2 linked regions of the Coturnix japonica genome follow. The protein of the gene in region 1 interacts with the protein of each later gene in a pairwise test. Links are inferred from orthologs where the notes say so. Each region holds a gene or a part of one and is shown in the gene's direction. Other genes may lie near its edges. The genes, in order: ZBTB10 and MOB3C.

Region 1 (16,293 bases):
CCCGGGCAGAGTGGGATCCCTCGGCCCCTCGGTAGGAGGGCGCTGTGCGGGGCGGGGCTCGTAAGGCACCGCGCTCGTCGCTCGCTCCCCGCCCCGCCGCCCCCCGTTCCCCCTCCCTCCTTCCTTCCTTCCCTCCCCTCCTTCCCTTCCCGGCCGCCCGCCCCCCGCTCGCTCTCCCCCTCCCCTGCGGCGGCCGTCCCGTTGCATTGTGGGAGCCGCCCGTTGTTCATTTGCCATTCGACCCGATCCGGGGCCTGTAGGGACGGAAGCGGCGCCGAGCCCGGCCGGATCCATTGTGGGCAGCCCCGCGGCGGCGATCTCAGCCCGGAGCCCGCGGGGGGGGCGGCCCCGGACGCTCGTTTCTCTCGGCCGCCGCCCCCCTCCGCCCTTCTCGTCGGGCGGCCGTTCCGCTCCGCTCCGCTCGTTCCCGCGGGCGCGGCCCCTCAGCCGGGCTCGGAGCGGGGCCGGGGGGCGCCAGGCGGCGGCGGGGGGGCGCGCTCGCTCGCCCGCCATGTTCGCGGAGATGAACCGGCGGACGCTGGCGTTCCGAGGAGGCGGGTTAGTGGCGGCGGCCGCCGCGGCCGCATCGGCGGGAGGCGGAGGGGCCGAGGCCTGGGAGAGACAGGACCCCGAGGCGCCGAACGGGCGCGGGGCGGACGAGGAAGCGGAGCTGGAGGGGCCTGAGGCCGACGAGCCGGAGGCGGCCGGCGACGAGAAGGAGCTGCTGCTGCTGCCGCCGCCGCCGGACGCCGCGTCGCCCCCCGCCGAGAGGAACCGGCGGACGCTGGCCTTCCGCGGCGGAGGAGCCAACAATGGCTGCGAGGCGGCGGCCTGGCCGAGGAAGCGCTACGACGGGCGGGGGGCGGACGACGAGATGGAGCTGGAGGGCGCCGAGGGCCTGGAGCCGGAGGGGCTGCTGGAGGGCAAGGAGCTGGCGCAGGACGGCGGCTCGCTCAGCGACAGCAGCGACGACGAGGAGGACGGCGAAGGGGGCAGCCTCGGAGACGGCAGCGGCGCGGAGGGCGGCAGCTGCAGCAGCGGCAGGCGGTCCGGGGGCGACGGCGGGGACGAGGCGGAGGGCAGCAGCGTGGGCGCGGGGGAGGGGGAGAGCGTCCGGCACTTCCCGCTGGCCAGGCCCAAGTCGCTGCTGCAGAAGCTGCACGTCTCCTTCCAGGGCTCCTGGCTGAAGGAGTTCCCGTGGCTCTACTACTGCCAGGAGACCGGCCTCATGTCCTGCGCGTGGTGCACCGCCGCGGCCGCCGCCGCTGCCCCTCCCGAGCTGATCCTGGCGGGCGGCCCCGTGCCCGGCGGCCACGACGAGCTCTGCAAGGGCACCCGCAACTACAAGCGGGCCCTGCTGCTGCGGCACCACCTCTCCGCCGAGCATCGCCTCAACGAGCCGGGCAGCGCCGAGCAGGTAGGCGGCGGGTCGCCCTCCCTCCCCTTATATATAGCAGGCTCTTTGTTTTAGTTTGTTTCTGTCGGCTTTTGCTTTCACAGAATCACAGAATGACCCGGGTTGGAAGGGACCTCAAGGATCATGTAGTTCCAACCCCCCTGCCTGGCAGGGCCACCAAACATACACATTTACTAGATCAGGTTGCCCAGGGCCCCATCCAACCTGGCCTTGAACACCTCCAAGGACGGGGCATCCACAACCTCCCTGGGCAGCCTGTTCCAGGGCCTAACCACTCTCCTAGTAAAGAACTTCCCCCTAACATCCAACCTAAATCTTCCCTCTTTTAACTTAAAACCATTTCCCCTAGTCCTGCTATTGTCAGCCCTTTCCAAGAGTTTACTCCCCTCCAGGGTGTAAGTTCCCTTCAGGTATTTAAAGGCTGCAATGAGGTCATGCTTTGTCTCCCCCCTTCTCTTTGCCCACGTGCGAGAGCTTCCTCGCACGGCTCCGTGCGTCGAACTCAGCGCGAGGGTCCCGCATCCCCGGCTGCCTTTATCTGGCGGAGGAAAAGCTGCGGTGCGGGCGGCAGTTGCGTATTGCCGGCAATGTTCTTGCACTGATTTACAAACGCGAGTTACAACTTCCTCCTGCGGTACTGGCGGAGGGAGGGTAGTGTCCGGCCTGCGAAACCGGCGCTCACCGCCTTTAAATCGGCGTCGTTTCGCCGTCCTGTTGCCCGGGTCTCCGTACGCCGCCTTATTGCTGCAGGCCAGGGAGTTTCAGCCTTAAACAAACGGGTCGCTTTAGATCGAGTTACTTAGCCAGAAACGTGTAATCGCTCGGTGTTTGTTTGAGATAAACATGTGGTTTCCTGAAAGCTGCGTTAATACGCCGGCATCTCCTCTAACGCTTTTGGATTGGCCAAACTCTTTGTTGTTCCCTGCTGAACTTAGAGTTATTGCAGTTCTTGGCTGCTCTCTGAGTAAGTCAGGGTGAACTCGGAGCTTTTCATCTACATGTGTCCTAAGGGATGGTCTCGTTGAATCACCAGCCTTTCTTCCTAAGGTTGCCTGCACTGCTGAAGCCTGCTCGCATGGACTGACCGGCTGTGGGTTAGGTTCATCCTGGAGCTGTGCTCTCCCAGCTTAGAACTGAGCTCTCCTTAAAGCCCCTACTGTGGTTGTGCAGGCGTATCCATAGTCCAGCTCGTAGCTCAGTGCTTGCACTGGGCATGTTGCTTGAGCACCTTAAGGAGCTCAGGGTACCTCGGACAAAAGCTGCTGCCCTAATCTCTGGGTAGGGCATTAGGATGGCAGGCACCGTAGGTGAGTGTGATATTAGGGCTAGTTGTAAAGGAACACGAGTTGTGCGTGGAACTCCTGCAGGATTGCAAGAGAACCTTATGATTTGTGAAGCAATACCAGCCATTCAGGACACCGTTTGGGATTGATAAAGGCAGCGATCACCTTTGAGATGAGTAATGCTCCCTGTTGGGTGAGTGCCTTTGTGAGCCCGCTGCTATGCATGCTTCATGGCGGTAGGTCACTATCGGTTTCCTGCAATCTGAGGTTTGCTATTTACTCTGCAGTATTTTGGCCTGACTTGCCTTAAATACCTCCAGTTTCTATTTCGAATCTCTCATTTGCAATTTTCCTTCTCTTTATTTTGTAAACGTTCTTTTTTGTTTCGCGTTAGCATGGTATGTTCCCCGCCATCCTGTTATGGCTGATTACCCCGCAGAGGTATGTCCTGTCACTGTGCAGCCTCCCTCCCACCAGATATTGTTACTTCGTGTCACATGTGAAAGTTTCTTTTGCTGCCTGTAGCTATGTGTAAATAAAACATACTCCGAGCAGTTTTTTCTTACTAAACTCAATACTCCGTCCTTCTGTCCTCCTCTCCATACCTTGTCATAAGACTAATTGATATTGGCGAGAAGGGAGCAGCCTAAATGTTAGTGCAAGTAATGATGAGGTTTGGACCAAGTAAGGTTCTGTAAGGTAGCCGTAGCAGTGCTGGTTGTGAATAGAAACAGTGCTGGGTGCATCCCTGCTCAGCTGTGCTTGAGTTAGAAACTTCTTACAAGGAGAAGAGTTCAGTTGTTAAGGGTCACTGTAGGTTTTCTGTGGTGCACTTGTGGGTTGCACTTGCTCTACTGTAAATACGGTTAAGAATCTGTGTTTTCTTTGCGCTTATTGTGTCATTATTTTCCCCTTTCGTGTTTGTAATAGCACTCTTCCTTCTCTAGATCCATATGTTTAACTAATGCCGAAACAATAGCCCTATTTTGATCTTAATGCCTTGATACCAGATACTTGGAACAAAAGTAGGTAATTTGTACCCCGACTGTATTTCCAACATACATAATGAGGCAGCAAAGCCTTTTAAATTTAATGAAATTTGGGAGAGGCCTTTCGCTCTTTGTTTTAGAGACAATGCATATGTATTCCTGACTTGACAAGCTTCAACTGCAGGGCATGTTTAGCAGCTGCTAATAAACATATGGCGGAGTGCCACCCTTCAAGTGCAGAAGGGAAATGGTAGGTGTTAAGACAGTAAAGCAGTGGAAATTTCTGTGGGTCTGTTGGATGTTACGCTCGTGAAGAAGCAAGTGATGATTTCAGTTTATTTTTGGGGTACTTTTAATTCGGAATGCCGAAATGCATGAGTGGTTACAGCTGCTGCAGTTGAAGATATGGAGCTGTCGGTTGGTGCTACTTTCTAAGACAAAAAGCTCAATTCTTTCTGTTTTAGTTTTTCAGCTGGTCTGTGTTGCCACGTTAAAGCTTGAGGAGAGATATAATCCAGTCTGAAGCTACCTTGGGTTTTTTGTTAAATAAGACTTGTTGCAGAGATATTTCTCTTTTAATTGAAAAGAATTGAGACTTGCTGGGAAGTCACTGCCAAATGTTTTAGTTCTGTGATGAATTTAGATCCATGAGTTGCAGATTTATCATCTGTTTGTGGTTCCTGTCCTCAAAGCTGCTTCTTAAAACACTTTTTTTTTATGTGGACATAATTCGAAGCGAGCTTTGGCATCAGTGCCAGGAAAGCTTTCTCCAGCCTAGCGGGTGCGTTGGTTTAAAGCAGAAGCTCTCGGAAAGGAGGAAGGCCCTTGATGTGTTACTTTTTCCATTTGAACTGTAATTGTTTGCTTTGTGCGTGCACTGATGAATAGAGGTCGTGCTTCAAATGTAAAGTTGCATTGTGGCGTTCTAAGTTAACTTACTTCTTGAATTACTCTGGTTGAGGAGGCGGTCAGGCCTTCAGAGTAAGCACCTTCGCTTACAGTGGATTTATGCCGTGTTCTTTCCAGGCCCAGAGCTGCTGGGTTGTGCATTAGGCACTTAGTGCAGCTATGCCGCAGTGCTGTGTTTCCTGAGGGATGCTGACTGAGGCTTGTGAAGCAGCAGCGGAGCATCCTGCATGTACAGCTGATGGGGCTGTTTGCTGAGAGCATCTCCTTCGGCAGCCGCACGTGTGTAAAAACAGCCTGTTTTTTCAGCAGGAGAATTAATTTGGGGGCATTGAGAAGTTGCTGTGGAGCAAGGTGTGGCAATAGGGAAGGGATTGCAAAAATGTTGCTTTACTGCTTTAAATATGCAAACATTTGGGGTGGAATCTGTGCTCAGAGGGCTTTCCTTCACCTCCCTCCTGCTTTCACTGCTAGGAGAGCATGGTGGTGGCACAGAGAGCAAGTTTCTAGTAGTGCTTCTGATCATCCTTATTAGCTTTCAGGTGGCTGTAATTACTGAGCTGTACATACAGAGGAGTCATTTTGTCTTTGGGTGCATTTGGAGACCAGTTGGCTGAATCTGAGCTCAGTTCATGATCTGTTGCACTGCTGCTTAATCTCACCTACAGAGCGAAGCTTTTCAGGCTGATTCTGGAAATTCCACAAACAAGAATGAAAGTCTTCCATTCTATTCTGTGTGTCTTATCATTGTCAAGGATAAAGCTGTTTGCTGGTGAGGTAACCTAAGCCAGGGGAATATTTATGTTTGTATTCTGAAATTACAATTGGCATCTAAGGAAATAGCAGTTTGTGGTTCTCATCAGAAAAACAGTTCCCTTACGGTGATTGCTATGAGCATTACGTGGGTAATAGAACATTAAAAATAAATCCTCTTTATTTTTTTCCTGTAATTATTTTCTTAACTTTACCTCCCATTGAATCGCATTCTACTTTCTCTATGGAGAGGGGAGATGTTTAAAAGTCTCCAAGGGCTATGGCATTTTTTTCATTTTTTCCCATAGTGGATGCTAACTGTGTCACACTTGGTTTACACAGACTTGTTCACTGTTCTGATGGCAGGGCTTTCCTTTAGCTCTTGGTGCAGTGTTAGAGTTGGTTTCCAACAGCAGTTAGTCGCTCATGTTCAGTTCTGCAGGTAGCTGGAAAGAAAATCTGTGTGCTCTCTGTTAACTGCACATACTTATCCCTTTCTACCAGCCTGCACCACAGAATCAGAGTATCACAGAATGACACAGGTTGGAAGGGACCTCAAAGATCATGTAGTTCCAACCCCCCTGCCTGGCAGGGCCACCAAACATACACATTTACTAGATCAGGTTGCCCAGGGCCCCGTCCAACCTGGTCTTGAACACCTCCAAGGACGGGGCATCCACAACCTCCCTGGGCAGCCTGTTCCAGGACCTAACCACTCTCCTAGTAAAGTACCCTGGTACTTTGAATGGTTGTTGCATTATGTCCCTTATTTTCACTTGGCATTCTGTTGTTTTCATAACAAAGACTTCAGCCTCGCTTCTATAGCTTGTGACTCTGCAAGTCCTCATTGCGCTGCCCTTTTTTCCTTAAGGAAAGATGCACTGTACATCTCACTTATTTCTCAGCTGGATTGGTTGCATACACATCCTTACTTCAAACATACTCTATTGCTTCTGTGTAGTCAAACATAAAGAGGAAAGGCCGGCTGCAGAACGATCTTGAATATTGTCTCAGGAAATGAAGACGCATCAGCTATTGTGGCACGTGCCTGACAGTGTGAAAGACAGAAGTCACTGATGTTTGGCTGTGACTAGAGTGACGACACTTCAATGCCATCGCTTCTGTTTTTATTCTGACCCGAAGTCAGCGTAGTCAGAGTTTTGAAACTGCTCCGTGGAGTAAGAGAAAGTTTGTCTGGCTCTGAAATGCTCAGAACTCAGAGGCAGACTGAGCTGTCACATCTAGGGTGTGCTTCCTGTTTCACAGCTCTGATCAGAGGGAGCGCTCGCCTTTGTCAGAGAGCACATAGAAAGAAGTAAGCTGGGGCTGGACAAAGATGTGCCTCATCTTCACATAAAAGCCTAATTGCTAGTCGTGCTGCTTCTTTCCACTGAAGGTTGGTTTTGTTTGTTTGTTTTTTCCCCAAAAAAGTGTAGAGGTTTAGAAGTGAGTTGAACATGGCAGCAAACTGAATTTTCTCTGCAGGGGATACTGGGAAGTTTCTCTTTTGATCGTGTTGGACATTGCTTGCTGCTCAGAGATAGAAAACATCTCTTCTGAAGTATGTAGCTTGACCTCATGATTCTGTGACCTCAGCTGCCATTCTAGTGATCCACACTGGGATTATAACTTGAAGCAAGTGCTGATTTAAGGCACTGATTCCTGTATGATGAAAAGTGGCTTCTTTATATAGTCAATTCTGCCGTAATTCCAACTTAAGGGTAGTACTCGTTTTCAGGATGCATTCTAGCCCCGGTTTATATTATGAGCTCATGAAAACCCACTAACTGAATCTGACCTGTAATGCACTCGATGGCATCTATCACTTAATATAGGTACGATCTCTTTTTGTTGTTTTCTGCTCTCTTCTGGCTGCTTCTCTTGTAACAGATTTGGATCATCACTGTCTAAACAAAGCAGTGTAAAATGTACTTCAAGCCTCTCGTTACTTCAGCTTCTGCCTGAACTAATTATTTAGGAATTCATCTCTTGGTGTTTGATTGTCTGATTCTACTGCTGGGAAATGTCTGAAGCTGTTTAAGATCATTTCTTGAAAGGCTTGTGGAGAGGCATATAAGTGCATGTTGTCGGTATTTTAACCAACTAAAGGTGGTGTTGCTGGGAAGTTCCAGTGTAGTTTGATTCAAGTAAGTCTTGGCTAAGTAACATAATGGAAGCCTGACTTTTGTTTGGTCACCTGCAGCATTCTGTTCACTTGTATTACCAGTATTTAATCTTAAGCCTGTACAATGGGGACAGGTTGGGAAGATAAATTGATCATCTTTATGTATTCATCTCTCAGCATGAGCAAATGCTGAGTCTGGATCAAGGTTCTTTATTGACTGAATGAACTGGGAATGTGAGAACCATCTAGATAAATCTCAGACTGCAAATCTTTAATGTACAAAGTCAAGTACTTCATTCTCATCTAAATCTTATTTCACTTTTGGCCCAAATTTTACTTCCTTTGTCCTTATGGCAATTTTCTTTTAGTTTTGTTCCAAATATGGGAGGAAGATGCAGTCTGAGAACGTGATTCTTAGCTGATGGAAATGTTTTTTCAAACATGTGTTTCAGCCTGCGTTTATAACCAAGATTCTAATTAAGAAAAAATGGAGTAGCACTATCTTCAGTTTGGTATCCTTTTAATAGTGTTGCAGGACTAAAGAGAGCGTTTGTGAAAAGCTGATTGTTTTTCTTTCTAATTCCAGGAGTCGGAGTTACCGTCAGAACTGAACAATGAAGGATACTGTGATTTTAACAGCAGGCCAAATGAGAACTCTTACTGCTATCAGCTCCTGCAAGAACTAAATGAGCAGAGGAAGAAAGGCATTCTCTGCGATGTCAATATTGTGGTGAGTGGGAGGGTCTTCAGAGCTCACAAGAACATCCTGGTTGCAGGCAGCCGCTTCTTTAAGACTCTGTATTGCTTTACAAACAAAGAAAGCCGTAACCAAACCACTGTTACCTATTTAGATGTTGTTGCTGTTCAAGGTTTTTCTGTCATTTTGGACTTCTTGTATTCTGGTAACCTCGTGCTTACGAGCCAAAATGCCATTGAAGTGATGTCAGTGGCCAGCTACCTTCAGATGACGGAGGTTGTCCAGTCTTGCCGCAATTTCATTAAAGATGCCTTAAACATAAGTATAAAATCAGAAGCTCCAGAGACTGTTGTAGTGGATTATAACAGGAGGTCTGTTAGTAGGGATGGTATGTCTCCAAGGGATCAGAAAGTTGCCAGCTTCTGGGCAACGCGAAATCTTACCAACTTGGCAAGCAGCATAAAAACTGAGAACGACGGTTACTCTATTGACGAGGCCCAAATTGAAAGCTACCAAATGAATGACTGCAGCTGGGTCCAGGACAGCTCACCTGAAATGGCTGAAAACGAGTCTCAAGGTGAGGGGAAAGTTTTTGTGTGGAATGACGTGGGCTCACAGGGACAATCAGTTCAAGAACCTGGAAAAGCGAGAAGGAAAAACCAAACTGCAAAAAGATTTATTTATAATATACCGCCGAACACTGAAGAGAACTCAGAAGATTGCTCAGTGTTGCAGCCGTCAGTCCCATATCCAGAAGAAGATCTGTCATTCATTAAAGAAGAAGCAGGTAAATATTGCTTAATATCAATCATATAACTTAAAAATTTCCGAATCACGTACATGGCAATGTAATTTCTTTACAGGTATGGTGGGTAGGGTGTTCTAGTAAAATCAGCACTTGTTTAGCATTATTCAGCAACTTGGTTCTCCTTGTGCTGCAGCAGTGCGTCTTCAGTTAGAGAAAAGAACTGTCCAACCAATCTCATGTGGTACACAACATGTTCTTTATAACTGATGTTTGATTGCAGGTCCTTATCAACTAGTAGAAGCTAAAATCTTCGTATCTACGTTTCAATCTCTAGCTAAAGTTAGGCACAAAATCAAGAAGTGATAGCTGATGCTGCTTGCTGATTGCATGGAGATGGCCTTATGAATTTTCTTCTTTTCACTAACAAAAGATTTTTGTGATCATCTCCTTGAATCTCAACAAGAAGCAGAAATCAGCATTCCACTACCGTTGTCTGGATATCTGGGAAACTGCAAAATGGAGTAATACTGCCTATGAAGTCTTAAAACAGATAGATTTGTGAAGCAGATGGGAAAGAGATACCACAACAACATGTAGTAGAGAGAAATGACAGTTTGCTCAACTGTCCTTTAAACAATCTTGGAATGTGACTTTTCATGGGGTTGTTTATCTGTTGTATTTTTCCTCAAGGGTTACTGCTTATTGAAAGTGCTAGAATAAGATTAAATGTGTTCTAGGTAAATACTGTCGCGTAGAATTCTAAGCAGACTGTTCCTGGTGTATTTGGAACTTGGGGTAATATAGTTTTTAATTACCATTATGTTGCATGAGTAGCTGAAATATGGATTTGAAATACTGCTGTATCAGTTCTAGGTGGATTAGCAATCTTGGAAGTATGAGTTCTGGATATTTTTAGTTTCATGTTTCTGAAGCATTTTAAAATGCATGTCTTTTTCAGATATCTCAGACGCCTGTGAATGACCTTTACTTCTCAGGTTTAGATGGCAGAACTTGGAGGGGGGGGGGAGAAGGGAATAACCCATGTGTAAATTAGGTAAAACAAACAAACAAAAACCCCCAAACAAACTCAACCAACTAACAAAAAACACCAGCACTCAGACCTTGGGTGCAGAGTATTTCTGTGGAAATTTTTGCATTCCAGTGATGAAAAAAAGGAGATTTGAAAGCGGCTTGAGATTTCAGGAATGCCTCGGAAACCTGTCTATTCTGGTGGAAGTAGAGGTGACCTTAGTTCGTTCTTGTACCCCCAGTCTCCTTGAAAAGCAAAGACTGAAAGAAATCCTTTCAGGAGTGCTGTGACCAAGCCAATTGTACTGGGGCCCTGGAATGCCTTTGCCCACAGTGTTAGAAGTCTATCTCTGTTGCTGGCAGCTGCTGAGGTGTGAGGAGGCAATACGTGAATAGCAGTCCAGCAGCGGGCACGTGATATCTCTGCACTGCATTGTACTGCTGTGCATTTGTGTATGGCATATACGTGAGCACCGCAACAACATGTGACAGTAGAGTACTGCAGACTGAAGCTACGGGCACCTATATTTGGTGAGAGCAGGAGCAGACAACACAGGAGATGGATGTGCTGTTAGCGAGCAGTGTGACACAACAGGAGCAGATGTGGGAAATCAGAATCGGCTGTGCTAAGGAACTGACACTCACTCCATAAATGCTTGAGTGGGGTTACTTGTCTCTGGGTCAGTAGGCATGTCCATGCTAGCTTTTCAGGTTAGCCTGAGAGTGTACTCTTGTAAAGTGGATTTCTTGATCTTCTCTTAGTGTACCTTGATTAATGTTGTGAAGTATTCTTGGCCTGCAGAGAGTTTCTTCTGTGTGAAAGGAAAATGGAAGCTGTGTTACAGAAATGTGCTTGTTATGTGCCAACCACTGTCAGGCTTTGGATCCACAGGGTTAGATCTAGCCTGATGTAAAACAGCTCTGAATGTGTATGGTAGGGCCTTCAGTACCCATATTAACAGATCTATCTACTCATGCTGTGTAGCACTACTTGCTAGCATGCATTTAGCTGCAGCAGCTTTAAGAAGGGCAGCAGGAAAAAGTCTGGAGCAGGAATGGGGATCTGAGTTGTGAGAAATTGCACAAATATCAAGTTTCTGACGCAATTTAGTGCGTTTTCTACTTCTGATTTATTTGGGTTAGGCAGTTAAGCTTTTTTTACTGTTTGAAATATTACAGGGAGTAAGTATCCAGCTAACAAATGGCTTGTTCAGCAACAGAAATAAATGCTTGTTTGCATTCTGCAGACTTGATATAGGTGTACTAGAGCTGTCTCATGGAAGCGTAATGGGTGGTGGGGCAGTTCAGCGATGATTGAACAAGTATTAAACTTGTTCAGTTGTTTGGACAGAAATAGAATCATAGAAACATAAGGTTGGAAAGGACCTACAAGATCATATAGTCCAACCATCCTCCCATTACCATTGCTATCACAAGCCCCTAAACCATATCTCACAGCCCCTCATCCAGATGCTGAAGCTGAGGTTTCCAGTCGTTTGTTGTACTGCAGAGTTAACTTGTAAAATATATTTCATTCTACATCTTGATGAAAAGAACTGCATTAAATGCATTGAATTTATGCTGTGGTGTCAGTCCAAAATCATGGAAAGCTTTATGATCGTAGAGAATGAATTTATTCTGTAAGTATTGTCAACTAATGATCTCCTTGGTACTTTGACTGCAACATGAGAGGTCTTAGGTAAATAATTACATGTTCCTGTCAGTACTAGAACCACTTTGGAAGCTATGTTTAATATCTTTGTACTAAAACCCTCTACAAAATTCTTCTGTGAGAGATGGTGGAGGTAGAGTATGATATCACTTACTTTAGTCTTAGTTATGCTTCAGTAGCTGGTGTTTTCTCCTTTACTGTGTGCAGGTTAAGTAAAAGTAGATTCCATGGATGACATGTGCATTTGTTCTATAAAACACTCTGTAATTCTTTCCTTCAGATCCAAGAAAAGGTGCGAGAGACAGGAGAGAGAGAGAAGAAAGAGTGGGGAATTGGAAGAATGACAAGAATGGGTTGTAGAATAACTTGCAGGTTACATGATAACTTTTCAGTTGTGGATTAAGTTTTTTGTGAAGATAGAAAAATGAATAGGCTGTTAAAAATTCATGAGAAAATGTTTTTTGGAACACATATAAGACAGTGAGTTTAGAAGAAAAAGAATGAATAGTAGATTCCTGTGATGCAAGCTAAGTAATACGCTTGCTGTCTCTTTGGTTGCTGAAAGAGAGAGAGTGAGCTTCTACTGTTACACTTTGCGGTGTGCTGATGGGGATAACTAACACCAGCTGTGGTTATTAGATGTCTGATTACATGCAAAGTGGGTTGCTGTGTCCTTGATGATGGTTTTAGGTTGTTTGGCTTTTCTGTGGGGTGAGAAAAAGTACCATAGGTGGTGGCATGGTGGAAGGGAAACCAGTTTAAGGACTGCTGCTCTCATGAAAGCTTAAAATGGAATCCAGTGCGTGGAGAGGGAGAAGGAAAAAAAAAAAAAAATAGCTGAAAGCCATTGAATTAAATAAGATTCTAAATGGAGTTTTTGATTGAGTACTACTAGGTAAGTGTTAGATAAATTGTACTAGAAGTTTTCTCAGTGATGCTGTTTCCTCGTATCCTGGTGAAGCAAATGTGAATGTGAGTTTTCTTGCAGATAGCTATGAGGGTACATCAGTTCTCCTTCCTCTGCATTACCAGTGGGTTTATATTTGACACCTTTCCTGTAAGCAGTAGCACTTTGGGCTTCAAAAAAGCTTCATAAAGATGAGTTTAGAAATCAATATGACATTTTTGCTTCATTTATCTACTTTTACTGATGCTTTCAAATGTTCCCCAGGTTTAACTATGGGAAATAAAGTAGCTGAGTTCCTTCTCACTGAATTGTACAATCTACTTTGCTATTTTTCTTTCTAGTTAATAATCTGTTAAAAACGCCTTTGCTGTTGTTTTTAACAACCAGGGTGCATCCTGCAATTAACCATTTACCGAGTTGGAAATAACAGTGCATTCAGTTTGTATCTTTTAGTCAGTTTCCAGTTGATGAAATCTCAGTGATTCTAATTAATATTTTTAGTGTCTGTCTGTAGATTCTGTGAATTCACACCACTTCTGACTAGTTTTTTCATTTGAGTTTGTGATTTGGAATACATATTCTGTTTGTAGACTTCAGAACAAAACTGTCAATTACTCCTTACGATTTCCAGAGCTGACAGTGTTGAATCTTTAGAACATATTAATGGGGTATTTGGTTGGTGTTGTGTAGCTAACACCAGATCAATTCTTTGCATGATTTTCAGGCTACATAATGTTAGGTTATATATTAGTTTGATGGCATCCGAGGAGGGGGTAACAAAACAAGATGAAAACAGCCTTTTGTGGAAAAAGGTTTTTCTGGGTAACTTTGTAGGAGTTCCTAGAGAAGGATTTGAATTCAGTTGGCTGGAAAACAACTACTTTTCATAACGTTACAAGTAGTGTCTAAAGCTGCTTATAAAAATGTGCTAGTCACAGTTTTTGTCATATGTTGCTCCTTCAAGTCATAACTTGATAAACAAGTTTTACTATAGAATTAATTAACTTTGTACTTGAAGAAATCAAGACTGATGTGCTTGCCTGAACTGTGGCATATGAAGAAAACTAATACAGCATCAGGAATATTTTTCTCCAATCTTCTTTTGTGGTAATATACCCTGATTGGACAATTAAAATTGCTTAATGAATGTTTAACCTCTCTATTTGCTCCATTTCCTATCTAATAAGGAAATAAAGGCCCCATGGATTTTGAAAGACATCCAGAGAGAGTCCAACGATCAGGAATCTGGCCAATCCAGTAAATTTGCCTCTCTTAGGGACGGTCTGGAATACAGGTGGATTCCCATGTTCTGGTGGAATGGACATAAGGACAGTTGTCCTTATGACTTTAAGGGATGCAATCAAATCACAGGCAATATTTGAATTATAAGAAATCATCAATCTGAATTGCTGACTTAATCTTTCCATTACCTCGACTATTTAAGAAATGATAAGGATTGTGGCAGCAACTCCATAAAGAAAAGCAGAGGCTGCATTTCTTCCAGATTCATTTGGGATATGCAGCTCTGGCTGCAGAAGTTAGCTGTGCAATTCTTTCAGATGTATTCCCTCCTGTGCCTCAAAAAACATATCTCAGGAAGTCAAATCTGATTAATTTTATAACATGTCGAGCAGTGAAAGTGATTTTGATACAAAAGTCTAAGATCCTCTTGGATTGCTGCTGACTTTAAAGGAGCATGTTTAGAATACAGATTCCTTAATAGATTACATGTATGAAGCCAAAAGTCTGGTAAAGGATTTCTAATAATAACTGTCTTCACTGACACAAAAACAGCCATAAGATTCTTGCTTAACTTCCAGATTTTCTGCATTGTCAGACCTGTTCAATTCAATTAAACTACTGTAACTCCCTATGAGAGGTTTTACACTAAAGTGACTTTGTCTCGTAAGGGTTTATAGAAGTATAAGTGAGTCAATTCCTCTTCAGTTTCTTGGGGTTGACAGGCCTCAGGGTTTGACTGGTTGTTCTTTTGCTTTTATTTCTGTTTTGTTTGAGGGAAAGGTTTGGTCAACCTCAGCATTTGTAGGTATGGTATAATGGGCTGTAGATTTCAATTGTTGTTAAGTTTGACTAGGGAATGTTTCCTTTCACTGTATTTTCAGTTTCTCCTGTTGAGTTCTTGCTGTACAACCATTCATCCTCTGTGCACTGTGAGGATTCTGAAGTCGTATTGTACAGGTCTCAGAGTAATTTCATGGGGTTGAAGAAATTGAGATGGGCACATTTCTTCCTTGTGCCGATTTCTGGCAGGCATCAGTAAATATACACAGCCAGAAATGTGTTTGCATTATGGAAACTTTATACAGTAGTATTCTACTCATAGTATGGCAAGGTTATGTGATTTGTTTGGGAAGATTTTCGTGTGTGCTTCTTGTTTGTTTTGCACAAATCCGTGTTTTTACAGATCTGTATCTTAGTCTTGTACCTTCCTTTTCTTCAAAGCTCTACGAAAGGACAAAATGCTTCAGTATTCCTGGTCAGGGTTTGGCAGTGTCTGACTAGAATGGATGATCCTGAGGTACCCATTTTGGTCAAGGATGCTGCTGCTTCTAAGACTGCCTGCTGCTAGAGAAGCTAAATTGAAGTATTATTGAATATTTTCTTAAAACAACTTAGGATATAACATTGTTCTGACCTAAACAATCTACACAGCAGTGGTATCTGTGCTTGTGTCTTTATGTAAGAATAAATACCAACAGAGACATGTATGATTATTATTTTTGTGATGATTTTCTTGATTTAATTTAATTATTCCTTGAAGGGCCTAAGAACAACATGTAGCAGATGAAATGGTAGCAATAGCAACTCTCGATACCAGTGCAGAAAGAGCAGCTTTACTTTGTGGAGAACCCTTGTACTAGGGCTGAAGTTGGCATAAAGTTTCCTTTTTTACTGGATGCCTTTTCTTCTACGACTCTGCATCAGTACAGCTGTGTAGTAACTGAGGAAAAGAACCAAGGGCCCTTTGGGAGCAGCAAGTTGAATGCGAGTCAGCCATGCGTCATAGCAGTAGTGAAGGCTAACCTTAGACTGTCAGAATTAGCAAGAACGTAGCCAGTGTGCTGGGGGAAGAGGTAATTTCCCTGAATTCAGGGCTTGCAAGACCACATTTAAATGCTGTGCCCTGTGCAGGGCAGCCTAGGATGGGAAAGGTATCATTAAGCAGGCGAGTGTCCAGTGGGTGGGTACTTAAGGAAATAGGGAACTGGAGAAATGTTGAGGAGAGTCTGTGATACTGAATTTATTTAGCATAGGGAAGCTGGAGGGGTGTATACCTGCAGTCTGTCAGCATCTTAAGTGGATTTATAGAATATGAATCCAGATACTTGCCCTTCTGCTGCACACCTCTGAAAAACATCTGTCGCAGCAAGGGAAATTCTGCCTGTCCACAGACCGGACTGTGAAAGCAGTTTTGCTGGAGCAGATTGTGTACTCCATCCTTGTAGACATTTAACACTTGGCAAGGCTCAAAGCGAGATATAATCCAGCTTTGAAGTTAGCCTTGCTTTGAGCTGGGTTGATCTAGGTGACCTTCAGAGATTCCTTGTGATCTAAGTTCTTCCTTGTTCCCTGAGATCAGTAGCTCCTCCACAAATAAATGATGTGGATCGGGACAGTCCTTACTAGCTCACGTTTCACTGTTGTCGCCTTTATGGAGAGATCGGCAAGCTAGCCTTATAAGCAGTGATAGTGAATAGCAATTGGAGGTTATCTGGCAGAGTTATTTAGTGGTTCTGCTTCTGTAG
Region 2 (16,293 bases), on another chromosome or scaffold:
GCTTTGAAGAAACTGAACTGCAAAGGATAGGAGCAGCTAACAAGATGATGTTTCTTTAGTTTTGTACCATGTAGTGCTGGATTAGTATTGTTTTCTGCTGAAAGTGCTGTGTTTTTACAGTCATTTGTGTGCGGTGAAGCGTGGCCTTTGTGCAGATTGCACTTGCTAAGGTAGAAATTAAATCCTTCACTGCTTTATAGAAACAAAGGGGTAGCTAGGCTTGTAGATCTGAATGAGAAACTTTATCAAATTGATGGCTTGGTCCTGTGTGTTCTGTTTGCCAAGATCAAATATGTCTGGATTCCTGAGTTACATGGAGCTTAGGAAGTTAGAGTTCTGAGTGTGTTTCTGTGCAGTCCATTGGCAGTTAGTCAAGTATCCTGCTTGTTTCCTGCTCCTACACTGTCCTTCCTCTTGGTGTGGGAAAATGAGCAAGTTCCTACACTATGGAGCCAGACTGTAAGCCTCAAAGAGAAAGTGCTTCTTGTTCTGGAACAGGTAATAAGGTAACTGTACAGAACTGGAAACTCATCTTGTTTGTGACCATTTCTACTACTGTTAATTTTTTAGAAGCAAGTTGACAGGTCATTGTGAATGTTCCCTATGGTCTTTTCCTTAGTCTCATTTAATACTGATAACAGTATGTCTCAGTGTTGGTGATTTACAACTGAAATGATAGAGTAGAAAGCCTTCCCCCTTTTTTAATCTGCTGTAGTTCTCTCTGAAGAGTTGATGTTGGAGGCCAGTTTGACATTGGGCTTTAGTTTGTTCTATGAAGTGGCCTCTTATTTATTTTTTTTTATCACTTCTCTGCAGTTTCTATATGCTTTGCCAAGAAAAGAAGGCTATGAGTTCTTTGTGGGGCAGTGGTCAGGAACAGAGCTGCACTTTACTTCTCTAATAAACATTCAGGTGAGTGGTGACCATGACAAGTCTAAAGATGGCTTTGGGTCTAGAAATATACATCATTTCTACTGAATAAACTGATGAACACATTGTCCAGCTTAACTTGAAAACAGTTATCAGTGAAAAACTGCTCTTAATTGTGGGCATTCAGTAAATTTATGGTAATAAGGGTCTCTTTCTTCAAAGAGAGAATCAGGTAGAAATTGAGCAGTCTCAGAACAGAAACAAGAGCCAAGCATTTTAGAGTTGTCTGTACAAACTGTTCCGAATACCAGTAGATGCTACGAAATGCAACCAGAAATAATTAGAACTGACCCTTAAGCCCTGAAAAATGACAGTTTCCATAGCAGCTAAGACTCAAATGTTTTATAGTCGAGCCTCTAAATGTGCAGTAAAGCTGAAGTTCTTTATGGGATACCAACAGTTTCTTTCCTCCCTTCAGACCCAAGGGGAAGCTGCTCCTAGCCAGCTGGTTTTGTACCATTATCCTGAGCTGCAGGAGGAGAAAGGAATAGTACTAATGACTGCAGAAATGGACTCCAAGTTCTTGGTAAGAGGAAAAACTTTCATTGATTTCCCTCATGTTAGACTGCATCATTTCTCCTATAGTTGCCTGGAGATGCAGTGTCAGGCTGGACAGGGCTCTGAGCTGTAGGTGTCTCTGTTCACTGCACAGCAGTTGGACCAGGTGGCCTTTAATGGTCCCTTCCAACTCAAACAATTCTATGTTACTATGAACTGAAATCAAGTTCAAATCTCAAGTAGACCCTTTCCCAAATAGTACTAGATTTCCTTAACCTACCTATTTAGTAATCTAGGGTAAGTTAGAAGGAAATCAGCAGACTTTGGCTGTCTGCTGTTCACAGTTCATATGTTGTTTTTACTTACTCTGGTTATTGTAGTTTATTTTTATGAAGCATTAAGAAAATTCAGAAGTATTTCTGGTCTTGTTAATGGAATTAAATTTATGGAAGTGGATCTTTTTCAGTGGGAAACAGCAGAACTCAGCATTGACAAGTTCTTCCTTTTAACTCGCAGGTGGTCCACGAAGCACAGTGCTTGGCAAATCAGGTGCAGCTCTTCTATGCAACGGAGCGTTCTGAGACCTATGAATTAGTGGAGACCTTCAACCACAGATCCAGTGAATTTAAATACATGTCAGTTATAGCAGAGCTTGAGCACAGTGGCCTTGGAAAGGCGCTGAGACCTAATCAGGTTTCTGACAAATCATAGAGCCTGGACCTGCGAAGAAGGAGCCAACAGCAGGAGGAAGGGTTTCTCACCTGGGATGCTTCCCATCTCTTGTATTGTGAATTTGAGTTGGCTGCAAAAGGGATCTGGAAACATGCTGGAACTGTGATCATCAAGTGGGTCTGGTGCTGATGAAGGACGAGGATTTGGGTCATTCAGGCAGTGGTAACTAATTGCTGGACTGAAGCACTTCAGCGTAACTTTGTCAGGATGAGCTGTTCCCTCATCTCTGACTTATGCTGCATGCTGTATTTTTTCCTTGAGATCTGCAATGTCAGAAGGGCAGCTACATAATGAAGTGTGTAGACATCAAGAGAGAGAGCAAACAATGTTTCTTCTCTGTAAAATGCATTTCAAATGCCCTCTGCTATTATAATTGCATGGTCTAGTGCTTTTAATTTGTGAGGAATTTATACAGACTCGTCTATCAAGAGAAAAGAATAGGTCTGGTGGTCTAAAACAGACTCCTCATTGTTCCTCTGTGTGCGAGGTTCCTTGTGCAGATGTGTACCGAGGCCCATGCAAGAACAAAGTGCTTTGGGTTTGTTCTGGGAGTGTTTTGCTTCTTAATTGATGCATTCATTTCATCTTGTTGGGTTTCTTAGAGACGTTTTGCTTGAGGAACAGGATAACGTGCTTTGATTTCTGTGTATTTTTGAGTAGTGAAGAGGAATTACTGCGTGCTTTTTAGAGTGATTTTTCTCGCTTTGGCATCTACTCAGCCAACTCTACAAATGGTATTTAAAGAGATTAAAAAATAGCACCTGTTCCCATTATCGGGCCCTAGAAGAGGTGGAATTGATGAGCCGATTCCAATGAAGAAAACAGCTCTGCTATTGGAAAATGCATTTATGATCCGTGCTGAGCCTAAGAGATGGTGAAAATGAATCACTTAGTGTGGCTGTGTTCTGCACAGCCAGTTTCAACCACTAGAGGGAAGATGTTTCCTCATTCTGAGCTACCCGAACACAGTTTACAAAGCCTGTCTTCTCAGCTTTGTTAAATCAGTGAGTTTGGTACTGAAAAATGCCAAGATGCCCAGGCTTCTATTGTATGGGCTAGTATTGAGAATGCAATGGGCTGTACTGAGTTATACTGAAGGTTCCCCTAACCCTGTATCCTAGGTGAGCTGCATTGGCAAGGGTGCAAGGCCAGAGTAAATCCAGCAATAGCTTTCCTCAGTGTGGGAAAGACATGGATCTCTTGGAATATGTCCAGAGAAGGGCCACAAAAACGATGAGCAGGATGGAACACCCTCCCCTATGAGGGCATGCTGGGGGCTGTGCAGCCTCAAGAAGGGAAGGCTCCAGGGAGGCATGAGAGCAGCCTTGTGCCACACTCGTGGTGCCTTTAGAGGCACAGTGCCCTGCTCCTTGTGGCTGTGTCCTGGCGTGAGGCCCTGCTGCAGTGCCGGCCTCTTCCCATGACTGCCCATGGGGCCTCCTGGAGCCACCAGCGCTCCGGGCCCACTTCCTTCCCTGCTTCCTTCCCCCTGATAAATTCAGCAGTGCACCTGCCTGCGTGATTGGGCCAGGCCGCCCTCTTCCTTCCTCTGCAGCAGACAAAAATGCACCTTCAAAAAGATGGGCTGGTCCTTCTCCTTTGGCTGCTTTTTTGGCTCTGATTCTGATTCACTCGGACGTAAATCATGGCTGTGGGTTCCCTGTAGGTTCTGTGCTGTCCGTCACCTGGGGACAAGGGTGGACTCTGGTGCCCACTGTGCCCTTGGGGAATGGCTGAGGATGGAAGAGACCTCTAAGATAACTCAGTCCAACCCCAGTCCACCCTGCAGTGCCCACTGACCACATCCTTCAGTGCCACATCCCCATAGTGACACCCCCAACACCTTCCTGGGCAGCCTGTGCCAGTATATCACAACTTTAACTTTCTCTGGTGCAACTTAAGGTTATAACCTCATTTCACCTCCATATGTCACCTTTTCTGCACAGACTCGCGCTGCATTGGATGCCAGTTCCATGCCCCTAGCTAGACTGAATCGCAACCACTGGTGAACCCTATACATCCTCACTGTGTCCCCAACTGCTACGCAGCCCCGAGCTGCCTGTAGCCACATCCTGCTGGTGACTGGGGATGTTTACAGGTGGTTTGCTTTTTAAAGGCTAGAGCTGAACCTGTGGTTGAGAACCCCATGCTTCAGGGAAGGGGAGCTGCAGCCCCACACCAATGTTGTGCTTCATAGCCCAACCAAAGCCAGTTTTCTCTGTGGACTGAAATAAGTGTTGGGGGGGAGGGAGGTTCATTTTTCTTTTTTGCTTTTTGTTTTCATTTCTCCTTTCTTTTTTTTTCTTTCCTTTGGAAGGCATCCACTCCATCCTGCCACTCAACCCTTCAGTGTGCCAAGCAGGGAAGGATGATGTGCATGCCCGTGGGTGTGCACATATCAGCCTGTGCCCTGTTGCAGGAGGGCAGCAGCCTGCTGGCGTGTCCCTGGGACAGCTGCAGCTCCGGCAGGGTCAGGATATGACATTACTAGCAAAAGAAAAACCCTCAGCCCTCACTTTCTGCAACCAAAACCTCAGTCAGTGTGCGGCTGCTCTTCATGCTGCAGGGCGTCCTGCCGGATTCTGGGCTTTTATTTTGAATGGGTTTTTTTGTGTTGGTTTTTTTTCTTCCACTCAGCAAGAGCAGAAAGTGCGGCGGGGTTGTGTGCTGGCAGCCAGGCGTGCTGAGGATGAGGTGAGTTCTGGGGCTGGAAAAGGGAGTAGTGTCGGCATCCCAGCTGGTGCTGCGTCCCCTGCAACCCTAAGGATGCTCCTGGGGTGCTTTTAGTGCAGGTTGGGCAAAGAAAAACTCAAGAGAAGCAAAAATGGGTGCTTGCAGGAGTTCTTCCCCCTTTTGTGAGTGTCCCGGCTTGGCTGCTAGCATGTAAATGCCGAGGGATCCTGGTTTGCAGCTGTGGGTTAGTGCAGATAGCTGGAAGTGAGCAGGGAGCTCAGTGTTTTGGCTGGCCACCTATCCTGGGGCTGGCAGCAGTCCTGGAGGTGGCTTTGCCATTGTCTAGTGGAGGGCAGGAAGTTTTGGGCAGGGATATCTGTAGGGATGCACTTCCAGCAGCTGTCTCGTGTCCTTCCAATTGTCTTCCTGGAGTTCTGGCACTTGGGATCGCGGCTCTGATGATGGAGCGATCACCCTCAGGACTTACTATGGCTACAATCAAGTTGGCAGCAGCAAAACTCCAGCACCAAGAATAAGGTACCCCAAACAGCATCACCCCTAAAGTGTGCTGGGTGCCCCACCACTGGAGAGATGAGACTTTGGCTGTGGTTTGGGACATGGGGGAGATTGGATGAGAGGGCTGTGTGTCCTCTTCTTGGAAACTGTGCTGGGTTTGCTTTGTATGAGGGTGGGGATTTCTGAGTGTTGGCAGAGATGGGAGAAGCAACAGCATGAGGAACTGATCCTCCTTTGGGAGCTGGTCCCTCCAGAAACGGATGCTGGGGGCTTTCCCAGTGGATGCTTATAGCTCTTCACAAGTATATCTGAAACACACAGATTAACTCTGTGTTGGGGCTGGTGGGACTCTGCAGTCCTGCTGTCTGGCGTGCTGGCCCTCCATCCCTCTCCTGGCATCTCATCTTGGCTTGTTTCCTGGAATGTTCTATCGTTTGGGTTATATTTGGGATCGGCTGCCAAGAACCCCCGTTTCTCATGGCCAGCCCAGCTGGGGTTTGGCTCCAGCAGGAAGCGTGAGGAGAGCAAGAGGGGCCAGAGCCCTAAAGCCATGCCCCAGCATCTTCCTCCTGCATTTAAACCCCTTGAAACCAACCTCTCTACCTCTAAAGCCAGACTGGGTTGTTGCGTGCTGTCAGCCCCAGGCTGGAGCTCAGGGTTGTGTTGCCTGCATTGTGAGGGATGCTCAGGGGAGGCAGGGTTGGGCTGGGGGGCATTTCTGCAAGGCCACCACTGAGAATCCTCACTTGCACAGCTGCTCCAGGACAAGTTGAAAACTGAGTTTTAAGGACATAGTTTAGTGGGCATGGTGGCGACAGGATGATGATTGAATTAGATGATCTTAGAGGGCTTTTCTAACCTTAATGGTGCCATGAAAAAAGCCAGCAGAGCCCCTGGTCAGCAGGCAGCTGGATGCCGTCTGTCTGTCTCAGGGCTCTGGCTCACTGCCCCGACACCAGGCTTGCCATGCAGGGACGTGGCAAGAGGGACTGCCTGCAGAGCAGAGAAGGCAATTCCCCATAGCACCAAGGGGGAGTCCAGCCTCTGGGGGAACACCCGGGGAAATGCACAGGGGGGATGTTGCAGGGTGGGCAGGTTTGAAGCACAGCTTTGCTATGTGGTGCTGGGCCAACCCCTGCTTGTGCTCCCCAGCATGGCTCTCAGCATGCAGTTCCAGGGCAGATGTTTGTGCAAGTGTGTAAGTGTCTCGGGCTGGATCCAAGGCTGGCTTGGGCACCAGACCCACTGCCAGCTGGAGGTGCTGTGTCAGAGCCTTTCTTCTTACCCTGGTCATTATCATTAGCAGCACTCACAAAGCATTTCCTCTCCCCTGAAGCCAATTCTTGGCTTTTGCAGCCCTTAAGATCAGGGGGGGCCCATCAGCAGGGAGAAATTACTTTTGAAACTGGGGAAATTGAGGCAGAGAGTGTGGCACTGTCTCTGCTATAGCTCAGAGCTCAGCACTGCCCCAGTCACTCCTCCCCACTGCTTTCCAGATTGAAGCCAGTTTGGGGTCACAAAGGCAGGTCTGCCCTGGTGTCTTTGCTCAGACTGGTGGGACAGATGGTGGTGGGCAGAGGAAGCTCCCCTCCCTACTTTGCTTTTTCCCCCCCTGCCTTTTGTTTTCCCAGTTTCTAAAGACATGGTTTGGTGCTATTCTTAACTTAAAACAAAGCCTTTGTTTTAGCAGTGTTGTGTGGCTTTCAAATGGTTAAAAAAAATAACAACAACCCCTAAAACTAAAGAAATAGAATCCTCCTCAAATTTGGAACTGGCAGCTGCCTTTGACCGTGAACTCACTTCCCTCCCATCCAGTTCATTTCCTTTCTCCCCCAGACCTGCCAGCCCTCTAGGAAATCAGGATTTCGCCTGTCCCTGCCTGCTTTAAAGCCCCACGCTTTAACCCTGTGCTGACTTGGCTCCCTGAGCCCTTAGTGCATGGCTGTGGGTGCCAGCACCGCCCCACCACCATGGGAATGGCAGCACAGCAAAGCGGGCTGCAGCCATGCCAGGGGGGGAGCTTTGATTTTGCACATGGGAACGGAAGGTGGGAGCTGCGGGCACTCACCCAGGCCCCTCGGCGGTGGGATGCGTGCTGGCATGCGGCAAGAGCTGCTGCCTCAGCTTGTCCCAGTGCTCCTATTGCAGGGCTGTACCCCGTATTGAAGCCCCAGTCCTGGCCTCCTGCAGCTCCAATGGTGGATTTTCCTGCTCATCAGACCCTGTGCAGTGGCAGCTTTGAAGAGAGGTTAGGAAAGGATCCGCTTCCTGGCACGGTGCCTCCGCCTGCTCCTTTTGGTTGTAAATCCCAGGATGTGTTCTTGGCTTTGTGTTAAATTGAATTGCTGGAGAACGCTTTTTTTTTTCCCCTCCCTGATCCCAGTAAGGATTCACGAGGCCTTTAAATGGCTCAGTAATTCAGTAGCGAAGTTGGCAAGGATCCCAAGAGCAAAACCACTCTCATCATCCAGCTGTGCCTTTCTGCAGTGAGCTCAGGGACGGCTCTGCTCTGCATTTGGGGCAGCACTTGGTACTGCTCCCTTATTCCTGGGAGCAGCTAACAGATGTACAATAGGAAAACATCTGGCAGGTGTTTAGCAGGGTTCTTATTCTGTGTTTCTTTGTTTTTTAATTGATGTTTCATTGATGTTCCAAAGCATCGGTCCAACCCAATGCAGGAATAACTTGATGTTTCTCCCAAGCTCTGTGATGGTGGCAACACATCACTGTACATGTGGGGAAGGCTCTGACTTGGCCCCACTGGCCTTTGGTGGCACCCGACAGGGCTCTCCCCTGCTGCTATGTGGAAAGCCCCACATGACAGCTCCTGAGTCCTGGAGAGACTCTGGGGGGAGCCCAGGGCTCTTCCAGCAAAGTGACTCTGCTGGATAAAATAGGATTTGCTTTTGGCTTGGGACTGAGTTCACAAAGTAGTGTTTGTACAGCAAGCTTTTGGCTAAGAGATGCCTTTTTAATGACAAATGCACATCCGAGCTTCACTTGGACACCATTCCCTCCCACTCGTGACTTCGGGTAAGTCACTTCCCCTTTCTGTGAACCATCTTTTTTCTTCAACTCCTCCTCCCTGGGGGAGGCTGCTTTGGGGTCTTTTACCTTCCCAGACTTCAGCAGGGCACTGAACTCACTGTGGCCTTGCTCTCCCATTATTAATGCTGCAGAGGGACACAGGGCACGTGCACATTTCAGCCTGTCCAAGCACACGGGATTTCCACTGGAGCTTCAGGAAGGAAAAAAGGGAAATGCTGCAGACCTCATCCGCACCGGGCAGCCTCAGGAAGACATGAACTCAGTGCTGCTGAGCACTGACTTCCAGGTCACATCCCCTGTTCCCGGGGTGCTGTGGGATTGGAGCGCCGTGGGGAGAGCTGGCAGCATCAACTCCCATGCATTGTGTTGCATCCTGGCCATGGTGTGCTTGGATGCTGTTTCCCTTCTTTGGCTGTGGGTTTTGTTCCTCTGAACAAACACACGGGCAGAACAACAACAAGAATCTCCCCTTTTCCCATTGATCTGGGTGCCGGAGCTGTGTGAACCAGCAGCCAGCTGCATTCACTGTGTTGTCCCATTGGTACTGGGGCTATTTTTATGGGGAAGAGGCACAGTCCTTTTGCCAGGAAGGAAAGGGCCGCAGGTAGGTGAGTGCTGTTGATACCATACTTCATTATCGTAGTTCTGGACAAAAGCCCTGGAGATAAGAAGCTGGCTCCCAGCATCCCACTTCTATCTCATCTCAGACCAGGTGCACAGATGACCAAAATTTGTCTTTTCCTTTCAGATACCTCCAACCCTGAAGATCCTCAGCACTGACCCTGGTGCCCTCACCCTGGCTGGCCCAATCCATGATGGCATTGTGTCTGAAGCAAGTCTTCAACAAAGACAAAACCTTCCGTCCTCGGAAGAAGTTTGAGCCTGGCACTCAACGCTTCGAGCTGTACAAGAAGGCTCAGGCCTCCCTTAAATCAGGGCTGGACCTGAAGGCTGTGGTACAGCTGCCTCCTGGTGAGAGCATCAATGACTGGATAGCTGTGCACGTGGTGGACTTCTTCAACCGCATCAACCTCATCTACGGCACCATGTCAGAGTACTGCACGGAGAAGAGCTGCCCTATCATGTCGGGTGGGCTCAAGTATGAGTACAGGTGGCAGGATGATAGCAAGTACAAGAAGCCAACCAAGCTGTCAGCCCCGCAGTACATGAATCTGCTGATGGACTGGATTGAGATGCTCATTAACAACGAGGACATCTTCCCCACCAGAATAGGTGAGTGTGCTGTGATTCTACAGGAGACTGTTGTTGTAGGTTTCCAAGCTGTTGGTGCACCTCTGGGTTGGTATCGCTGAGCTTTTCAATCCTAAGAGCTCTGCTGATGACCTGCTTTGGCTGGGAGCTGTAGTGACTGACACTGCCCCTTCTGAGCCGCTTTCTTGTAGTTTTGGGGTGATGTTCAAGGGTTGGAGCTGGTGTGTTGGCCAGTGGGTTCTTGTGGAAGGCAGCTATCACCTCTTTCCTTCACTTAAAGGGGGCTGTTCTGGTTGCACAAACACATTTCCTTTTCCAAGGCCATTACCAGGTTCTCTTCTTCAAGCATCTTTGTGCATCCCCAAGTGACTTCAGCCTCCTTGCTGGTGTGCAGCTGCCATAAATCTTCTCCAGCTCTTCCAGATGACCCCGTATCAATTAGCATGTTCTAGTGCTCATTTCCGCTCTCCCAACCAACATAGCTGGGCTGGAAAAAAGCCCCACTACATGCAGAGTAAACATTGTTCCTGTGGAGGGATAGGAATAAGTGATTCTGCAGGCATATTTTTTACCAGCTGGTAAAACTATGTCCATAGACCTTTTCATGAGCAGATTACCACCTGTACAATAACACTATCTGAAGTGTCTGCTGTGCCTTTGCTTGCTGGCAGGAGAAGTCACTTTCAGTTTCATTCAGTGTCTCAGTGAATGCCCAGCAGACAGTGTTAGGTCCATTGGTAATACATGGGGAGGAAGCTCTGGTGGATGGAGTTTGCAGGGCCATGAGTCCCATGCCAGCACTGACGTGTATGCAAAAGCTCTCCATTGTTAAATGAGCACAGACGTGGGGCTTGGATGAAAACCAGCATTGGAAACGCCCTGTACTCTTTGCCAAGCCTGTCTGTAGCTGGAAGGAACGTCACTCGTAGGAGGCTCTGGGATGGTTCTTGGAATGATCCAGAGACCGGACTGGATGTTAGAAATAATCTTAGCAGCAATAACTCATCGAGCAGCTTGTTGAATTACTGCTTTTTGGAGAGGGTAAAATACAATTGTAAAAAAGCAAAATAGTTTCACAGCGCTGTTTTCATCACAGAAAAATGCAATTGGCTTGTGTGTGAGGGCTGGGGGTGAGGGAGATGGTGAGGAGGATCCAAGGCCCACTCGTATTCCCTTCCCGTAAATGCAGACGCTTTTCATTTCCTTTTCCACGCAGTCCCATGTGACTTCCTTATGTTTTGAAGTGATCAGCACAGAGTGTGGAAAACAGACTTCTCTAAGCATTAAATCAGGTCTTGGGTTTCAAGGAAAACATCCAAGATAAACTTGAAGGTGCTAATTCATTTTGGGGCAGTGAGTCACGCTACGCACCAGTGCCTTGATGAAATAGAACCTGATGTATTTACAGCTCTTGCCCTGGCTTCCAGCACTTGTGATGCTCTGTGCTTTGCATCGCTGCTCTGCTTGGCTCCTGTTGGTACCATTTCTGCTGTGCATACAGGAGGCCCATCAGCCTCTTCCCTAGATGGGCTTTAGACTGAGGTCTGCGTGTGCATAGGGTGAGGGAGAGATTTACTTTGGAAAACCCAGATGATGGAAAAGAGAAGAGAGTGAGATGTTGGAGAAGGGACTCAGAACATGCAGTCCAGAAAAAGTCTGTAGCAGTAGTGATGCTGTAGTTAAGAGGTGACCTGTTGGAGTCCACTGGTGACTCCCATGGACTCCATTGGTGACCAGTCACCAACACAGCTGGGCCACATTTGCAGAGGACAGCCACACACTGACACCTTGTGATGGACACAGGGAAGAGCAGCACAGCTACACATCCCAAGAGATGTGTGATACTGCTGGGTTCATTTGAAGCCACAGCAGTGGATAGCCCAGAAAGGTACTGTTAGGTCTTGGCAGCCCAATGATATCTTTCCTGATATCAAATTATCATTAGGAGTAAGATGACTCGGTAGCTCCTGTAGTTGCTATGCTTCTCCATATAATATCAGTGCTTCTCACTGCCTGCTTTGAAGGGAGGAGGTATCAGGCAGAGGACACTGACAAACTGGAGAGAACACGTGCACTGCTGCCTGCCTGCTGGCACCTTGCTGAGCTCCTGGCAGCAGCTGCTCATCCTTGGTCTCAGGACAGGCTGTTCAGAACAGTGTGTATTTCTCAGCTGTGGTCTGGGAATGTGCTCTCATCGCAAATTACTCGCCATGATGGGTTTTTCTTTATTAAAAGAAATATTTTTATGGCTAGTTCCTCAAATCTGGTCTACAGGAGCCACCCTAATAGCATGTTTCAGGCCCCTGCTGGGTGATTAGGGCTTTTAGTTGCTCAGCGAATTCTCACTCGGTGCAAAATGCTCACATGAAGCCTTTGATAAAGCATGGTGTTTTTGCTGGCTGCAGGGAAGCCCAGCAGATTGATTGCTCGCTGTCCTTATCAGCCAGGCAGAAGGAGCAAGCCCCACAGAGAAGGGGTCAGGGCAGAAGCAGATCCCTTCATCAGTGACATGGAGAGGTGCTTGCATTTGGCACAAAGCCCTAAGAGGAGCTATTAGAATCCTAATGGGTGATGTCAAAGATTCCACTGGGTTTTGTACTGCTGCAGGATGCAGGACAGTGGCCATGAATCTCAGCCCACTCTCCATGTAGGAGTGTGTGCTGCTGAGTCCAAGCCATCTACCCATGGCACAAGCAGCCCAGCCTTGTGCAAGGTGAGACCAGGCTGAGTGTGACATCGCTCCAGACCAAAGATAACCTTCTGTTACAAGTACTTTAACAGTAAGCTCAGTGAGGAAGACTCAAATGACCATTTGTATTTTTTTAGCTAAGAGGTGTGTGAGCTGGCTGCATTAGTGCTGCATTAGTAAGAAGCCAAGGGAGGAGACAGGTAGCACCGTGGGAAGGGAGGATTTTATTTTGCTCCATGCAAATTTGCTTTGAATTGCTCAGGGGAGAGAAAGAACCTTCAGGAAAGGTTCCACTTGGTTCGTGTTCAACCTTCCAAAAAGTATATTTCAGGGGTTTCAAAGCCGGGTTTTCTGTAGGCATTTCCCTTAACTACCTGACACTGGCTGTGACACCTCTGAGATTTTGACTGTTAGAACAATGTATTTAGATAAGGATGTAAATGGAGAGTAATAAATTGTGTCCTTGCATAAGACAAAGCTAAAAGTAGTCATTGGTGCACGGTGGGTCCTGTTCCTGAACACCTTAGTGGGATATTTCAGTAGGGAGCTTTGTACAGGTGCAATGGCATTACAACCTTAAGACTGCCATTTTAATCTAAGTCAAATGGCTTTAACTTGCTTCTGCTTTGCAGGTGTTCCCTTCCCCAAGCAGTTCCAGCAAGTTTGCACTAAGATCCTCACCCGCCTCTTCCGTGTCTTTGTCCACGTCTACATCCATCACTTTGACCGCATCATCCACATGGGGGCCGAGGCTCATGTCAATACCTGCTACAAGCACTTTTATTACTTCATCAGGGAGTTCAGCCTTGTTGACCACCGAGAGCTGGAGCCTTTGGTAAGGATGCCCTATAGATGGTGAAGAGGACAAGGTCAGAGCAGTGTGGGTTGAATTCAGCTCCAGTAAATACAGGCAGGGTCAGATTCAACCCTGCGCAAGACATACAGCTTCAGATAGCAGCTAATATGAGTCTAGCAGGAGTTGCACTGCTGCCTCCTTTGGGAAGCAATTAAAACAATTAGCCAAGCAGAAAGTGAGAGACCTTGGACACAGCACAGAGGGGGGAGGTAAGGGGAAGAGATGTGCAGTTCTGACACATAAACTAGAACATATGCAGTTTTGTAAGAAAAGCAAATGTGTCACAGGCTGTGTTGAGTGTGGTCTGGCTTATACAAACCTGTTGTGGTGTGGAGGATAATAGGGAACCCAGTAATTAGCACGCTGTGCAAAGGGATGGGCTGCAGCACAGGAGAGTTCAAAGACAAATTGCTGAGAGAAATCACAACTTGAGCTGCATGTTTATTAGTACCAGGGATGCCCCTGAGTGCTAAATGCTTTAACTCTTTTTCTGCTTTCCTTTTTCTCAGTCAATTTGTTGCCTCCTCTGCTCTGGTTGCAATCTGGCAGGCTGGGAAGATGATCCAACCAGGGGACACCTAAATGACAATAGCAGACTCATTAATTAATTACTTCATATAGTGTGATTTTGACCTTTGTTATCACAATGGTCCTCAGCCACAGGAAATGACAGTTCAGCATCGCTGTGTCCTCCATTCTTCTTCATAACCATTCTTCTTTAACATTGGTATATGGCCCATAATGGTGTCACCTCCTTTGACTGATGCTTGCTTATGTAAATAATTAGCAGCTAATAGCCAAAGCAAAGGCTGACACTGCTAAATAGGCTTTCAGTGCCAGTGACACACATGCAATGTGAGATGATTTATGGTTCTGGATGATTCTAAGATGAACAGATTTTCCTGTGTGATGCAACTAAGATCAAACTACAAGGAAACAAGGCACACTTCTCACTGGTTATGTATGTCTTGTTTCCTGGTGTGCCCGTTTCTTGGTATCCACTACTTGGAATCCACACCCTCCAGCAGCCTCTAGTGCCTATGAGACCTCCTTCCATTCAGCAATGACTTGCTGTATGTGTGCAGGAGAGTGACCTGCAACCAGAGAGGGCTGAGTCCTGAGTGCAGTGCTGGGCTGGGGAGCAAGGACATGGTCCTGAAGATTAGGAAGTGGGGTAACAGCGTGGTGAGAATGATGCAGAGACGCTGCATCTTGGCACTGCCAGCAGTCCCAAAATCTGAGTGGCAAAGAAAAGCAGCCTGTTAGCCTACACAGAGCTTACTCTTGTCATTTTGTCCCTCCCTGAGTTCAGCACTGATAGCTCAGGACTAGGTTTTGTAGACGAAGCATCTGGGAAATGACAGTGAGAGGAGGGAATTCTGGCTATGGACGCTAGAGCCTGAGTAGCTGCTGGAGGAGCTGCTCAAACTGAAGAGGCATGCTTATGTATTAGGGATATCACAAAGCAGGAGGAGACCCCTGGAGAAGGACTTCAAGCTAACAGTACTGAAAGCCAGAGATGTGAGTTGCCAGGAGGTTTTTTGTGGCCCTTTGAAATTAGTGCTCATTTGCATTATAGTACAGTCATGGAATCCCTTGCCAGAACCACAGGCCCCTTCAGTGAGCTGCTGTCACCACCTGGAGGGCAAAAAGGGCCACCATGGGAAACAAGAATGCTCTCAGTTTCCATACAGCCACTTCCTTGGATTGTTTTTGGGTACCTACCAAACTGCTTTGCACATCACTTCGCCAAAACCTGTGTTTTGCACTAACTGCTTCTTTCTTTTTCCCCCTCCCCTTCAATGCAGAAAGAAATGACAGAACGAATTTGCCACTGAAGCCATATCAGCAGGCATACTCAGCAAGATCGTTCAGCATTCAGAGAATGAACCCTGCGGTGGGAGATGTCTTCCCAAGGACTTGCTCTGGGCATTTCAACTGTACTATGAAAACTGCAGAAGAGCCTTTCTTCTTTTTTTTTTTGTCTCCGGATGCATCAGTCTCCAAATGTTTTGTTAGCGAGACCTGCCCTGTAAGCAGGTGTGACCTTGGCTACTGAGTCATGCCTGTTGCTTTTCTCACACGCATTGAACTGTGATAACATCTGAGATCAGCTCTGCAAAGCTGGTGACATTTGATCCCAACTGACTCCATGAGGTTAGTTGCCAGTGTCCCATTTTTAACCACCACAAGCTATGAATGTTTCTCCTCCTGTCCTCATTCATACTTTACCAAAGTGACTTCCACCCCCCCACCCAAGGAATTTTTCATGCTTGGCAGAAGGGACTTGAGGATGTTTTAAGATGCATCCAATACCACTTGGACTAATAGCAAAATGGCTCCATGACAAATGGAGGTGAAATGGGCCACTTTTCAGAGGGCCCAGCAAGTCTACTTGAGTATTTTCCATACTCAGAAACACTGATACAAAATAAGGGAAAGAAACTTGCCAGAAAACTAGAAAACAAATGATGTTTTCTCACGTCGTCCTGGCTCTAGAAAGCAGATGCTGGCTATAGCAATCATTACCTTTCCATTATTCGACTGTAGCGCACACACTGTTCTTCTGACAGGAGTTTGACTTTTTTCTTTAATTATTACTAATGTGGGGGAATTCAATTGTCTGAGCCACGTTGTTATGTTTGTGCTTCTTGGCCTTGTTCTGGGAAGGTTTTATAGAGCAGACACAGGTGATGTGTATAAAAAGGGGGTTGCCCATTTTGGGGAGGGGGGACGTGGGTAGGAAATGTAAATATTTAAGACAACACTAAAGTTCACAAGTGGATTTTTAGTGCTCAAAGCACTTATTTTATTGTGAAAATCTATTTTTTAATCTTATGTACCAGATGTATATTTTTACATGGAAATAAAGTGGGACAAAATGGCCACAAACCATCTGATACAGCACTCCAATACTTTCTGTGTAATGCAGTCATTAAAAGTCCAAACGTTTTTGTTCTGTTACTAATTAAAGAAGCAGGAATGCGCCTGGTGTCCTTTGTTCTTCCCTCATCCATAGCAAGATGTCATGAAAATGCACCCAGGGTAACCTGAGTGGACTTCTCTGACAGCTGTAACACTGATGGAGCTCAGTGTTGTGTTGAGACCTCAGGAACAGGCAGCTCTGCGTAAAGTTGTG

Evidence for each region.
Region 2: the proteins of ZBTB10 (region 1) and MOB3C interact in binary tests that used the Homo sapiens proteins (3 or more experiments, as listed by UniProt). The link is inferred for Coturnix japonica from reciprocal best matches to the Homo sapiens genes ZBTB10 and MOB3C.

What each region holds. Positions count from the first base shown.
Region 1 is NC_029517.1:109,618,001-109,634,293, forward strand, and holds the start of ZBTB10 (zinc finger and BTB domain-containing protein 10), read left to right. Parts: upstream 1-511; coding exon 512-1,417; intron 1,418-8,059; coding exon 8,060-8,957; intron 8,958-16,293. Other genes in the region: translation initiation factor IF-2-like, read right to left, coding at 1-513. UniProt on the Homo sapiens protein: May be involved in transcriptional regulation.
Region 2 is NC_029523.1:19,377,153-19,393,445, reverse strand, and holds MOB3C (MOB kinase activator 3C), read left to right. Parts: upstream 1-4,476; 5' UTR 4,477-4,854; intron 4,855-4,860; exon of another isoform or gene 4,861-5,370; intron 5,371-5,387; exon of another isoform or gene 5,388-9,005; intron 9,006-9,145; 5' UTR 9,146-9,209; coding exon 9,210-9,630; intron 9,631-12,930; coding exon 12,931-13,133; intron 13,134-14,962; coding exon 14,963-14,992; 3' UTR 14,993-16,139; downstream 16,140-16,293. Other genes in the region: ATPAF1 (ATP synthase mitochondrial F1 complex assembly factor 1), read left to right, coding at 817-912, 1,349-1,456, 1,945-2,139. UniProt on the Homo sapiens protein: May regulate the activity of kinases.